2 linked regions of the Alligator mississippiensis genome follow. The protein of the gene in region 2 interacts with the protein of the main gene of each other region in a biochemical or structural test. Links are inferred from orthologs where the notes say so. Each region holds a gene or a part of one and is shown on either strand. Other genes may lie near its edges.

Region 1 (7,353 bases), on a different chromosome or scaffold from region 2:
TTGGTGGGAACAGAACAATTCCCATTTTAAGAGAAAGCTTCCCACTTTATACAACACTGCAGGTTACCAACTAGAGAAAACTATTTGCATCAAAAAGCTAGAAGTTAGCTGAGAAGAAAGCTTACAATTAACAACTGGTATTTAAGTTCTACTTATTGCCTTCTTGCTGTAAGCCGAGTCTTTTATGCCATATGGCGTATTAACTGTATACCAGGTTTGGTCTTCGGCACAAGCAGCATAGGGGACTATTAGATGTCAGCAAGAGGACCAGCCTCAGAGAGTTACTGAAGTTTCATACTACATTTCAAGCTAGTTAGTTAAAAGATACGAATTGTAAAGTGAAGCCTAGGACTCTTGAAAGCATTAAACTAAGATAACAAGGAAGGAAAGGAAATAATATTTGTCAGCTTTACCAATAAGCTTACCGTTTTGTCTGAATTTTTTTTTTTGGGGGGGGGGGGGGAAGCAGTTTGCATGGATAAGATAACATTATGCTGCAGATTACAAGTGGTAACTCTGTTTTGTTCCTCTGACCCCTCCCCCGCATAGACTACTGTAGTTTAACCCACAACTGTACGTAAACAGGAGTATGAACAGGCATATCGGGTTTGTAGCTATGGCTAGGATAAATACAGGCTAGTGGACTATACCAACAAGAACTGCACACAGACTCAAACAAGTGATGCTGAAAGCCTACTAGCTTCAGTGGTTTCTCCATACTTCTGAAAACAAGGATCTTTTTGTTTAGGAACAGGCTTGAAGGGCACAGAGCATGACTCTTACCACGCAATGCAAGGTGAAACCTAAAAAGGTAGTAGTCAGTGAAAGTAAGAGTCATTTACTATTTTGTCAGTCAGGTGGCTATCAGACACCCTAAAGGAATAGTAACCATATTACAGGAAAAGTGCATTTCTAGCCAATTTTTGCAGTGCAGTACTAGAGTCACATTAACTTGTATTACAAGCCTTAGGTTTCAGGACCAGCTGATGTGCCAGAGGTAATAAGATCAGCAAGGGAAGAGGGGCCAAGGCAAAAATAAAGGCTTCCCCCAGGAGTAGTTCTAGCTCCTGGAACATCATGCCACGACATGGGAATCCTGTAGGCAGCCACATGACCGTGGAGGCACAGAGCAGTAGTTGGCAGTTCAGCAGCATCTGCATTTCCACCAAACCCCACATTCTAGCATCTAAAAAAGGCTGCTTAACAGTCCCTTCAGTGACCTTCCTATCAGGAAAAAGATTGAGCAGGTTAAGAAGAGCATCACTATATTAAGTGCTTGCCAGCAGTGCCCCTGCCATCCTCTTTCCCACCATGAGAAGTCCTACTTATTGGGTAGTAACTGAAGCACTGCCCTTCAAATGCCCCCCACCCCTCATGGCCACTTGACCCGTCTCCTCTCCATGCTGCATAGCATGTAGTAGCCAAGTCAATCCCAATACTGCTAATTCTAAATATTCCTTTCGAGTAGAGACTGGCTTATGACTGAAGACTCTCCAACAGGTGGTTTACTTTTTGGTTTGCACCTTTAGGTTATGCCAAGGCCACATTTAACACTTCTTTCCTTTCCCCACTCCTATGAGCTAGAAGCTTATCTGAAAATGTGAAAGCCAGGCCTTGCAAAATTACATGTTTCCAAGCTGTGGGTTTAAAAAGAAAATGCCCAATATCATTGTTTGGGAGGGTTGTTACCTTGTGCCCCTTTTGAGGGGAGCTGGGAGTCAGAAGCCACTTTAGCTAAAGGGAAGAAGAATCAGCAAGCCAGGTACCTAGGACTTTAGATACCTAAAAACCTGTCTTGTTGGGATAAGACTTTGAGAAGTTTGAGTACTACAGACAGAGGGGATACCTGTGTATCAATATCACAGCAACATGCTTCAGTTTTACAGGTTTGTCTGCAGAACCAGGGTGAGGTTTTATTGGTTTCATTTTTTTTTTAAACCAAGTTTAGAGATCATCAACAGGACAGAAGTTGCCCATCAGAAGTGGCCCTTTGTGCATGACACAAAGAGAAACAAGCCTTCCCAGAAGCACCCCAACTCTAGCACAGAAGTCCTGAGAACTGGCTTACCCTGCACCATCCCAGCTGAGCTACCTGCACCATCCCTGCTCACACTGTCTCTGCACCAGCACCCAAAAAGTTTGTCAGACCAGGTCACTCCCCAGTGTAAGCAGCAGCTCTCCAAGAGTTACCTGGCTACAGGCTCGAAGGCACTGTCCATTCTCGGTCAGCAACCCAAGCACAGCCCTCTGCAGGGCAGGCTGGCTGGAAGGAGCTGCAGCCTGGCGGGGCTCCCGGTTCCCCACTTGGGAGACCCCACCCTTGTCCTCGCTGCACCGCATGGCCTCCAAGTCAGCAGCAGAGAGCTGGGGGGGAGAGAGACAGACAGCATGAAAGAAAGAGAAAAGCAGGTTAGTTGTTCCTCCAAGACTGATCATCTCCCTGGTATCTCTCCCTCCTGTGTCCCCCCCCCCCCCCACACACACACACACACACACACACGACTGGTGCCTTCTGAATCTGGGGGGGGGCGCCCACAGAAGTCACCAATGGCAGCAGCCCTGGGGGGGGGGGGGGCACCAGCCCATCCGACAGCATCAGTATTGGTCATTGGGGAGGACACATGGACCCCTACCAGTCACCTATGCATGCACACATACACTGTAGTGGAGAAGCAGCAGCCTTCCTCCATGCTCTTTTTACTACCCCAACCAAATAGACTACAGCTTGCACCTTGATCTCCAGCAGCTGAGATCAGTACGGGGGGGAGGAGCGGCGGGAATGAACACCTGGGATCTGAGCCTGATCTGTGTAGGCTCAAAGCAGTGGAGACAGGGAGCACCACTGTTGGCGGGAGCAAGGACAAGGGGCGCTGTGGGTGGATGGGTGGGTGAGCGGGCAGCGCCCCCGCATTACCTGCGCCCCGCCTTCAGGCCCGGCCCGACCCGACCCGACCCGCCCGGCCTATATAGCCGGGGCCAATGAGCGCGCGGGGGCGGCGCGGGGCTGGCCGATGCTCCGGCGGCGTCTGTTGGTGCGGGCCAGTTGGAACCGCGGCCCGGGCCGCTCTCGCCGCCCGCCCTGGCAACCGCGGCGCGGGCCCGCACCCGCCGCCCGCCCTGGCGTCCTGGGCCCGGAGCCGCCCCCGGGCCGCGCCGCACGCACAGCCCCGCGGGCACGCGCTGATTGCACACACACCTTACACACTGGTGATGCACACGCCCTTCTTACGCAGGTGCGGACACAGACTACACACACGTACGGATCGCACGCACACGAGTTACATAGGTGTAGACGCACTGGCTAGATTACACACACACTGATAATACACTCACACAGGGGCATTGATTGCACACCTCCCCGCAATTATACACATGTATGCACACACTGGTTACACAGGTGGCACATAGATGACACACTGATTGCACACTGGGGCATACAGGCACTGATTACATGTATGTACACACTGACTAAATGCATGCACGCTGATTATGTGTGTTCACACACTAATTACACACGTGGTGATTCCGCACACGTATACACAGGATCCTGTGTACACAGTGCCTTCAGGATCCTGTCCCAACCACCGCCTGGGAGCCCCCTGTCCAAGGGCGGTGGCTTTGCTGTCCCCTCAGCTGTGTATCCTTTATCTCCTTCCTAACCATCAGTGCAGAGAAGCAGCTCTCTGATTTCCAGTCACCTGCAGCCATCTGTAGCTGTGTGAGCCATTGGGGAGTGAAAGCAAACCCCGGGACAGTTCCTAATGAAGCCTGGAATAGTTGCAAGTAATTGCAGTGTACACAAGGCCCCTTTGGCTGCCTTTTGGTGCAGCGCTTATAGAAGCGACTGTAAGGAAAGGCCCCGTGGTGTTCATTCTTTGCAATGACACTCTCTCATGATGCACAAATGCAGGGGTGGTGAACACTCTGGGGTCCAGTCTTCATCTCAAACCCATGCACCTCTAAAGGACACAAAAATAATAAACCTGGATGTAGAAAGACCCTACGTTATACAACTAGACTAGTCACTTCTGGCACAGAAAATCTATGTGCCAGCATAACCCAGAGCCTGAGCACTGAAACCTACTAAATCTCATCAAATGTTGCCCCTAAACACCCAACTTTATAGCGTTTCAAGAACAAATAAATCTGTCTCACTGCACTAACAAAAGTCCTTGAACCGTTGCATCTCAGTATGGGATGGCTGCAAAAAGCAGGATCTGGAATATGGATCCTCACATTCATCCAGGCCCCAATACATATTCTGTGGCTTAAACTGAAAACAAAGGTAGCTACCACTATTGCAGTGCAACAACAGAAAAAAATCAACTAAAAACAATGGACCTGGATGCACCCCCATGGATCAGTGCTGCAAAAACTTGGTTCCAGGATTGAATCCAGTTGGAACTTTGCAATTTTGGGGGGCCCAAATTATAGTTTAGATTATACATCTAAATAGAAAACAAGCATCATTTCTCCCATATTAATGAAATAAAATTCAAGCTTTGATGCTTGCTGGCCTAATGCCACTAGAAAAGCATATATCTGGTTCTAGGATCCTGTTTCACACTGCCAATTTTTAACCTCAGCCCTCCCTCCTCATCAAAGTAGAATTGTCTAAATAGAGAAAAAAGGTTGCATCAATATAGCAAAATGTAGTTATGCAATATGTATCCCACATGTTGTGTTTCAGTGAAACCATAATAGCCTATATCTGACATCACTTTGTCTAGATACCGTACCTCCAAATGTCATATTATGTATGTATATTTTGCAATGGAACTGGTCCAGTGGTTGTGTAATTTAGCTTAAACACTTGATGGGTTAGTAATTTATGGAGATAATCAAAACAATGTAAAGGAATTACATACTGTAATTCCATTAATTGTAAATAATTTCTAATGTTATACAGGTCTAAAAATCCCTTAGGTTGAAAAAATCTAAGCACATTACCTACAGATTTATCCAATGCACATGCATAGCTGTACTTGTTATCTGTCCAGAAGATAAAATTTGTGATGATGGTGATAATACAAGTTAGATTTGCTGGACCTAGATCTGCAATTGGATTTTTCAAGTGTTTGTGTGCTAGGAGTGATGAGGGGCCAGATTTTTTTTGCAGGAGTGACTATACAGGTAGTCCTTCGACTTATGACACAATTGGTTCCTGAAAACTTCATCTTAAGTCAAAATGTTGTAACTTGAAACTGATTTTCCCATAGGAAATAATGTTATAAATGGGGGATTGGTTCCTGAACCAAGGCCCGATACCCTATTTTAACCAAAAATAACCCATAATTTTGTACTCAATCAATTATAGATGAGTAATATAGCTACATTAGCATATTTATATTGTAATAAGCAATCACATTGATTTGGAAGGACTTCTTTGAGGTGACTTTGCTGGACTTTTTGAGGGCTCTTGGCTGGAGTCTTCTCAGGAGTCTTGGCTGCAGGTTTTTCTGGAGCCTTGGCTGCTTTCTTAAAGAAAGTGTCCAAGGAAGCTTGGACAGATGTTTTCCAGGGAGATGGGTGATGCAGTGAATGTGTTCACTGGCATGGCATTGCATCGGATCAAGCTTTGTACAGTCTAAACTGATGTCAGAAAGTTGAAACAGTGTCAATTTATAAGCATTGTAAGTGTGAAACGTAACTGGAAACACTGTAGGTCGAGGACTGCCTGTACTTGATCTGTATTTATGCAGTGAAATTGAAAAGTGCTTTGTAGCCAAAAATGGTCAAATCCAACAGGACCCAGGTGCAAGGTACATATTCTTGAGTTGCTTTTGCACTGGTGTGTATTAGAGCCAGCATTTTTCTAAAGGATAATGTGCTTTTTTGACTATACAGTTTGGGGCTTTGGGCAGGATTCACCAGGCTAAGAATGCTGAGTATCTTTGTGGTGCTATTGAACAGGGATATACCAGGATCTGAATTTTTGAGTGAGAGTAGAGCATCTATCCTTCCCTGTTGAGCTGGTACCATTTTGAGGTTTGGGATTTTAGATGCATATGTTGACTGTTACAACAGAGTCTGGATTTGGCAGTTCATTAGGAACTCCTATATCTTCTTCTTGATTTAGACAATAGAATTTGAGAGGCTGTAGTTAAAAAATTGGCAGACTTCTATTGCCAAATATGTGTTTTCTAGTGCTATAGGACTGGTATCCAAAAGAGGGTCCAGGTCCCCCCTCCAACATCCCCACACCCCTCTCCCCAAGTGAAACAGAAGCAGCCCTACATGTTTGTGTAACTTGGAGCTTGAAGCCAAAAATCATCAGACTGACTGCAGGGAGATTCCAGATGCAGAATTTTGCAGTGTTCATGTGTCTGAATGCATCAGGATCCAGTATTCTTCTATATGTAGTATGGAATATAGGAAAAAGGCAAATATTAGCTAGATTTGCTACATCCCATTGTTTGGGGGATTCATGGGTTTTTGCATAACTGGGGTCTGGAATCCTTTAGTGCAGTACAAGCTACAAAACTTATTCTCTGTGTGGTGGCATTGGCTTTGGGGGCTTGGGTCAAAATTTGGGTGGATCCACCAAGCTTCTAGTGCCAGACTTGGGTTCTTTGCAGTGCATATACTCTAGAATGCAAAAGGGTCTTAATTTTATGTAGGTGCAGTTAGAGCAGCTAGACATCTAAATTGTGATGATATTTGGGAGCTTGGAGTTACAGATCAGCAGATCCAGGTAGATTTAGCTTTTTCTTTTCTAAAAAAATGGCATAATAGCATTTAAAATGTGAATGCCACCAACAGAGAATTCCTGGTATGTCTCACAGATAGAAAACATGATGTCAGTATCTGACATCATCTGTGTGCAGTTTTACTTTCAGTCAGAATGGATCCTTGGAGCTCTGTGTTCTTTAGAGAAGTTAGATGGTTGGGAAAATAATATGGGGGAACTGTAATGACTAGAGGAAATGATCACATAAAGGTCACCAATGCTGCAGGATAGGGCTAGAAAATTATGATGTACAGTCCTCTTTTTTTTTGGTTGAGATGATCAGGAACCCCTATGTTAACATATTTTATGCAGACTTTCATGACATGCAAGATCCCATCTTGTGTAGATTTGTTAAACGTTTCAATACAAAAAATTTCAATCCTTGGGAAAATTCAAACTGAGACACTAATTGTGCAAAAATTAAATGTGTGTAGACTTACATAGAGAGGAATTCTCTTGACTTTACTGGAACTAGTTGTAATTGTAACGTCAAGAATATGCTTAAGTGCTTACAGAATAGGCTATAAGTGGCCTAACATTGTGTGGTTGTAACTATGCTGCTTCTGGTTTAGAAAGTACCATGTGTGGAGCAGCACATGATGCCTGTCCTGAAGATGGTTACG
Region 2 (7,804 bases):
TTTCTTGGTTCTTCCATAATAGAGCCACTGCCCTTTCATGCACCATCATACAGTTGTGCCAATGTGAGCCAGGACAAGCTATGAAGCTCTGATCTTGTTGGCTATACATCACAAACGAGGAACCAGCCAGGGAATCAAAGCCTTGCCATAGCAACCTCAAATCAAGCACCTGACTTGATCACCCAGGAAGTTTGTGTCAACAGGCAAAGCAGAAGCTTCACACTGATGCTTCAGCAAAATGCCTGGGGCAAATGTTCAACCACAAGAAACTGGAGTTTCAAGAGCACTTGCCAAGACTTCTCATGAATTTTTACTGCACCTGCTTCTTACCTCTCTTTAGTGAGAGATGAGCTGGATCATGAAGGAAGTGGGTGGGAAAGAGGGAAATATGGTAACGGAGGCCTGTTAACAGTGGGAACACCCCAAAAGCATGACTGTGGCTGGGCTGGACACCTCCCTGCAGCATGAAGTCTCAGAAACACACATGACAAGAAGCAACTTGACTGTTCAAGGAATGAGCTTGGCATTGCTCATACTCCTCCAGATATCTGACTGTCAGGTTAAGCTACACACAGGCAGGAACCACCCCCTTCCCAGGAGCTTGAAAAAGGAGTTTGGACCCTGCTGCTCATACACGTGTGTGTTAAGAGCTTTGCTGACCACAGGCACCAGGCTGCAGTCTGAGAGGCTTTGAGAGGAACTCCTCTCAAGAGCACCTGAGAACAGCAGGTCACTTTGGGAGGATTCTCCCAAACACGGGCTCAACAGGAAGCACAAGCCCAAGCACTAAGCATGACAGCACAGAGGAGCAGTAACTGCATGTTTTCCAACCCTCCCAAATAACAATATCTTATTATGGATTTCTGAACCAAACAGCAGCCTACAATTAAACCAAAAGGATCAACTATAAAGCTGTTGCCCCCTGCAGGCCCCTCTGACTAGAGGGATGGGCTGCTGCAGAATAGTGTGTTTCAAGGGCAAAGCTTTCTCCTGGCTCCCTATCCCCTCTGCTGAATTAAAGCATAAGGATTCCAAACTGGAACAGTGACCAGTCTCATCTCAGGATCCATGGCCAATGATGCACAAGGGCTTAAGATCCTTATCATGGACTTGGCAGTGTACAATTAAAGGTGCGTTCCACACACAATCTGTCTCTCTCGGGACCAGAACTGCAAGCCCTCCTTGCTTTACACTTGATCTCGCTGGAGATGCTGGCCTTTTAAATCAACCTAGTAAGCCCTGTAAACAAGTCAAGACCCCAGAAAGAGGGAGAAAAGACTACTCCAGTGATCTCCCTTACTTCAGTGGTCTCTTATCTTGCGCTAGGAAAAGCATGGGCAAACCACTGTTTTCAGTGAGGCTCCCTGAGGAAAAAGGGGCACTGCATGTAGCTTCTGAGCTTGCTTGGAGAAACAATGGGAAGGTCCCCCGGTGCTGATGCTGAAGGAGAGAACCCCTGTTCCAGAAATCTTACCCTGAGGATTTAAAAAACATTACATCTCAGGGAGAGCAAATAAGCACATGCAAACAGACCCCACCCTGGGACAACAGACTTCTGCAGGACTGTGGCCTTAATATCCTGCAGCAGGAAGTGAAGCCTTTACATTTATACTGTTGCAGACTTTTGTCATAGCAGCTCAAGGAACTCACTGAGCTCTGGGAACCAATGGAGAGGCTTGGGGGCACAAATAAAATGCACTACTGGGACCTGGCCTTAAATGGAGTTCTGCTATGGTGAGGACCCCACTCTCTCAGGCTTTCCATTCCCCAGCTACTTATTTTCCCAGGTTTTCAAAAGTCAGCATTCCTCCCTCCTGTACAAGGCACATCACTCCCTTATGTGTTATCTACCTCACAGGCAGATGTATCAGGGCCAGAACTTCCACATCCTCCACTGCAACCTGTTCCACTTCACTACTTCACAGCAGTTATCAACAAAACTGGAAATGCATCTGAAGACAGCATGAGCTGCTGCTTTCATTTCAGGCTTCCTTTATGCAGTGCTGCCCACTTGGTAGCTCTGTTACACAGCCAGAAAACAAAGTGTGGCAGCCTTGCTCGGGGCCTCTGCCTACATCACCTAGCTACGTATTAACAGCGTACTGCCCTGCGCGGTGCCCATGGGGGCCCAGCCGGTGCAACACAGTCAACCTCTCCCAGTAGGAAAACACCCGAGGAGCGGAGCCCCGGAGGTCAGTCAAAGCCGCCAGGGCGCTCTCCTGAGCGAGGGGCAATGAGGCCAGCGCGCGGGGAAAGCGGCTTATGGCAGCCCCCGGCCGAGCTCCCCTGCATCCTACGCCCGGTCCGCTCGCCGCCGCCTTTCCGCTGGACTGCGCGGGTTCCGACCAGCCGCCCCACGGCAGCCTCGCCCGCAGGCTCCCCGTTCAGGTGCAAGAGGCGCCGCGTGGCACAGCCTCGGAGAGCGCCCGAGGCAAGCGCGCGGCGGGGCTAGGGAGTGAAAGCGGCATTACCGGCGGGCGCCCCAGGGCGGGCCTCTGCGCGGCGGGTCCCGGCCGCGGAGCCTGCGGGGTGGCGAAGAGCAGCAGCTCCGCCTCGCTGTCTCCGTCGGGCGCGGGCAGCTCGCCGGGGGTGGAGATGATCACGATCTGCTGCTCCACCACGCGGAGCCCCCCGGCTGCCCCCAGCAGCGCCTCCAGCTCGGCCACGCAGGCGCTGCCGCCATCCCGGGCCACCTCCAGGCCATCCAAAGACATCCTCCGCCCGGCGCGGGCTCACATCCCCGGGCGCTCACGGGGAAGACCCAGCGCTGCTCCCCTCGCCCGCTCCCGGCGCTGCGTCCACCCGGGGATCACAGCGGCCTGGCGGGCACGGCGGCACAGCCCCGCCAGCGGCGGGCAAAGGCCACGGCCGGGAGAAGCGGCAGGGCGCCGCGGCCCATACTCAGCCCGAGGAGGCGCAACCAGGCAAGGCCCCGAGCGCGGCGGCGACCCAGACCATCTGCCCCGGCCCGGCCACTGTTATTGTTCCCAGCTGGTCCCGGCCCCGCACGCGTTTGCGCGCCAAATCCTTTTTGCCGCGAAAGCAGCACGAGCCGAGTGCGCGCGCTCCGATTGGCTGCACCCGTCGCGTCGATACGCAACGCCGCGGGCAGCCGCGTCCCCATTGGTCGCGACCCCGGGATTGATACGCAAACAGCATCTCCCCATTGGCCGCGGCGGGGCAGCCGGGAGGTTTCGGAGTGACTGGGAGACCGTTCTGACAGTGGCCCAATCACAGAGGCTGCGTCGGTCGGAGTGGGGAGGGAAGGGGGCCGTGGGCCAATCAGCGGGGAGCTGGGGGACGCTGAGCTGGGGCCGCTGGGGTGAGAGGGGTTCGAACCGGGGCCTTAAAGGGGAAAAGCGCGGCACGGGCGCTTTCCCTGTCCCGGGGCTGACGTGAGCCCGGGCTGCCCCGCCTCTTCCTGGCACCGCCCCAGCGCTGGTCTCACGCTCCGAGGTCTCCCTCTGGGACTGAGACCCCTCCCCTCGCTGCCCTGCTCAGGACGGCGGCGTCTTCGCGCCTTGCACGAGGGCACTTGGCCAGAGGCTGGCGCGCGTCGCCGTAGCTGATGATCCTGTCTCAGCCATCCCCCAGCTCACCCCGTGACTTGCGGCCCACGGGGTGTGCCATCAAGTGCTCTACCTGGACCACGAGTCTCCAGTTGGAAGGGCAGGCTGGGAGCTGCAGGCTTCAGGAAACGCACCTGACTTAAACACCGGGAGAAAGGAATAGAGAATTAAAAAAAAAAAGTGTCTGTGTGTGCCCATGCATGCAGGTTTGTGCACATGCGTTCATGTAAATGCATCTCTGTGTGGGTGTTTGTCAGCTGTGTGCATGCATGCGTGTGCATGTGCCCACACCTATATGCATCAGTACAAAGACATACACGGGTGAATGTGGCATAAAAGGAGCAGGCAAGGCTGGTAGCAAGTCAAATGATCCCCCTAGGTATCTGTGATGTGGTCTCTTGTTCTTGAGTGGGTGCATGCAGTAGAGGGTTGGTTTCTTTAGTTGCTGCAAACATGACTTGCTTCATAAAGCATTTCTTCCTTTGGCATTACGGGATGAGGCCAGCTGTTTGGACTTTGCCCCCAGTAGGACTAATCAGACTCAGCAAAATTTACAGTTATACAAAATTGCCTGTACTTTGTCCATATGACAGAGTCCACCTTGGCTCTGAATGGCAGAGCTGTGACAATTTGTGAATGATTGATCCAAAGTTAGACTGCTGATGCCACCAGGGGGCTTCCTGGCATACCTGTAGTCTGGAAAATGCAGTTAAGAGAAGGTGTCCAAATCCCAGCCCTTTCAATTCATGTATTCAAAGTCAAGATCCATATGAGGATGGGTGGGTTAAGGGACAACACAAGAAGCCAGCAGCAACAAGAAACAGTTCTTCACACTTCCCTCCCCCCACTTTCTAAGGCCAGTTGACATCCTGGATTCCTCTCATTCTGACTTCAGACTAAGGCACTCCTAGCCGCTTTCATAGATGACATCTTTCTATCTGTGGACAGGTCCATACCTCCAGCCTCATTATTCTGAGCCTCTTTCTAGAGCTTGTAGGTAGTGTTACAAAACACTTTTGCACTGTTCCAAGTAGCTGTAGGAATAGATGATAAAGCTATGAAATGCCTTAGATTTCTCCTCAGAGACCAAACCCAGAGTCTGACACAGGGAACTAATGCTCTGTTTCCAAAGCCTTCCATTCTGGAGCCTAGTCCCCACCTTACAACATCCAATGTCTACATGGAGCTGATGAGATACTGTAGCTTGAAGTGCCGCCATTACCCAGATGATATCCAATTCCATCTCTTCACGTCAACTATAAACAGCAATGTCTCTCAGCTTCCTTACTGCCTAACTAAAGCTGAAACCATTTTGAATGCAACCATCCTGGGAGGGAGAAGGGAGTGCTACAAAGAGTTTGTCAGCTCTGTGGCATCCCCCCTGTTGGAATTCACCTTCCCTTGGGTTGTCATGTGTGTCCTCAGCTGTGCATTCCCTTCAGATTTCATGGTACTATTGGTTATCAAATAGCTTGCTAGCAAATAACCCCAACATTTGATCCATTGGATACTGAACTCAGCTAAAGATGCCCTTTCCAGTCCTACCTTCCTGTGTTCCCCCTATGACTGGTCAGATAATAATGACTATCCTATAAGACAGACCTGGCTATAGGTCCATATGTTCCTCACCTTCAAGTGTGGCTATTGCAAGCCATGTCTAGACATAAAGCCTCAAATTCAGAGATAGTTGAAGTCTGTCCCTTTGGCCACCTTCTATGAACATCTTTCCCATGCACTGCTTTCTACAGTCACTGCCTAGTGGACAAAGTCTAGCTGAAGGTCTCTACTGTAATATTCAAAGTGCTCTAGGTAGCTCTCCTTTAGTGAGACCATGCTGTCCTTCTACAGCTATATTCCACGTGACAAGAAGTAAAAGCTCACTTACCAGAGTGCCCCTTGGGGTATCTAGAAACAATGGCCACAAAGTGACAGGGAGCAGATTTAGGCTGGACATCAAGACGGACTTCTTTATGGTAAGGGTTACCAGAATCTGAATGGGCTTCCAAGGTAGGTGGTGCTCTCCCCTACTCTGAAGGCCTTTAAGAGGAGACTGGACAAGCACCTGGCTGGGGTCATCTGATCCCAGTGCTCTTTCCTGCTCAGGGCAGAGGGTCAGACTCGATGATCTACTGAGGTCCCTTCGGGCCCTAAAAATCTATGAAATCTATGAATGAAGGACCCAATTCTTACAGGTTCTGGCCCCAGGAGTTATAGGAATAACTACAGGCCTCATCACTCTCAGAATTAAATGTCAGACTCATTTCTTTAGTGGTGTGTTCCCTCACTAGCTTCTACAGGCATGCATATGCAGTCCTACAAATTCATCAGACTCCTTTTCTAACATGCCAAGGAAGAAAAGAAAGAGAGGGGCAGGCATTTCTATTTAAAATACTTGGGAAGTGTTTGGCTACTTAGAAGACCTCTAAACATGGGATACACAAATCACTGGCATAATGTCCTCATGGAAGTGGTGGGAGTCTTGACATTGGAGTCATCTGAGAATGGTTGGGACAAAACCCCACAAGATATACTGTGAAACAGACAGAAACAAGGAGAAACAAGAGGCCTTAACACTCTTCATTGTATATTGATTATTTTCCCATGGGGAAGGGAATGGACCTTTCTGGAAAACTTGTTTGTTTTTACTTTAATCTATTTCTGATGTTCAATGGTAAACAGCACCCACCTGATTGTTTCTGGACAGTAATGCCTTGTCCCAAAATGATTGTGTTTCTTTCAGAATTAAGATCTTCTGAAAGGTGGGGGTTTTTAATTCATTTTTCTGGTGAAGTATGTCTTCATTGAACAAAATATAACTAGTGTACTGGCACATCTTATAGAAATTAAACAGGAAATATTGTCATAATACATTTAATAATTGCATGATTGTATTGGGGTACCTGCAGAGAAAATCTGGAGGTCTCATGAGCTGTCTTTGTCTTTGGCATGTCTTTAAGCTATAAGATCTGGGAGACTGCGAAGGCTCAAATTTGTACAAAAAGCCCAAGCCATTGAATGGAAAGAGAAGAAACTTTACTGTATTTACTACCAGTCTCTTGCTGTAATTGTATCACATTAGTCAGTGTATATACATGCTTCCCCTTTATGTCCTTTCACAGAGGATACCAGTCTTTAACAACTCAGCTATTTAGCTTAAGCTGTAGAGATTGATGATTTTGGCTTTGGTGGTCTTATATTCAGTACCTGTTGCTAGCCAAGGTGGAGACAATCTTGACAGCACACTCCTGAGTCTTTTCTCCAAAGGCCTAACTGGTAAGAAAATCAGAGTTATGTTGACTTTGCTGTGCAACACTTGTTCATCCATATTCTATACAGCCATGGGCAATTCAGAGCTGAAAAGGCAGATAACAGCAGAGTCCTCTAGTATCTCTAAATGTGCAGGGGGCTATGGTAATACACCCACAAAACATGGCATAGATTGTAGAGTTCCCTCCATATGCATCTCCATGTGTAGGAAGCTGATAAGTTGTTTTACCAAGTGAGAAGTCTAAATTAAAAAAAAAGGTACGATGAGAAAGCACATTTATGAATTGCGCCTTTTCTAGAATTGTAACTTATATAGACAAAGGTTTACAGAAAAAGAATCCCAGATTTTTTATTAAATACTCACTTCATCCATTACTGAAACATGGTTGCTTCTGGTGTGAAACATGGAAGCTATTTATTGACTCACGTTCACCATTTGAAAGAATATAAGAGAAAAATGAACAAATATGCCTCTAACTGAGCCTGAAGGGACACTCCTAAGGAAGCAGACTGTAATAAGCAGTGACAGATTATGGCTAGAATATAAGTCTGTTTACCTTGTAAGAAGTGCTGGGAGAAATGAATGACCTTTAGTAGTCAGTCTGTCCACCTTACCATGAAAAGCATAATGATCCTTCAGCACCAGCCTGGGGCACTGACTCAATGATACCCCAGAAAGGTGGCAAAGGATACAGTAAAAATGGGCCACATAATAGTCAGTCAAAGTCAATCAAGATTGTACTAGAAATCTTAGCCATATGTTTAAGTGGAATCCTGGGAGAGGAACTTGCCTGTTTCTGGAGGTCTTCAGTAGTGCAGTTTCACTAAATTAGAACCCTGGAAGCACTCTAGGATAGTAGTGACCTAGTTAATATAGTTACACCCACAGTGAAGACTCTTAAACATTGAAGATCACAGGCAAAAAAAAAAAAAGTCAGGTAGAACATAGACACTACAGAAACAGCTCG

Evidence for each region.
Region 1: the proteins of E2F1 (region 2) and CCNA1 form a complex in vitro, tested with the Homo sapiens proteins (2 studies listed by BioGRID). The link is inferred for Alligator mississippiensis from reciprocal best matches to the Homo sapiens genes E2F1 and CCNA1.

Annotation. Positions count from the first base shown.
Region 1 is NC_081824.1:420,989,523-420,996,875, forward strand, and holds the start of CCNA1 (cyclin-A1), read right to left. Parts: upstream 3,020-7,353; 5' UTR 2,915-3,019; intron 2,899-2,914; exon of another isoform or gene 2,732-2,898; intron 2,723-2,731; exon of another isoform or gene 2,634-2,722; intron 2,365-2,633; 5' UTR 2,341-2,364; coding exon 2,191-2,340; intron 1-2,190. UniProt on the Homo sapiens protein: May be involved in the control of the cell cycle at the G1/S (start) and G2/M (mitosis) transitions. May primarily function in the control of the germline meiotic cell cycle and additionally in the control of mitotic cell cycle in some somatic cells.
Region 2 is NC_081832.1:27,212,109-27,219,912, reverse strand, and holds the start of E2F1 (transcription factor E2F1), read right to left. Parts: upstream 3,082-7,804; 5' UTR 2,715-3,081; coding exon 2,472-2,714; intron 1-2,471. UniProt on the Homo sapiens protein: Transcription activator that binds DNA cooperatively with DP proteins through the E2 recognition site, 5'-TTTC[CG]CGC-3' found in the promoter region of a number of genes whose products are involved in cell cycle regulation or in DNA replication.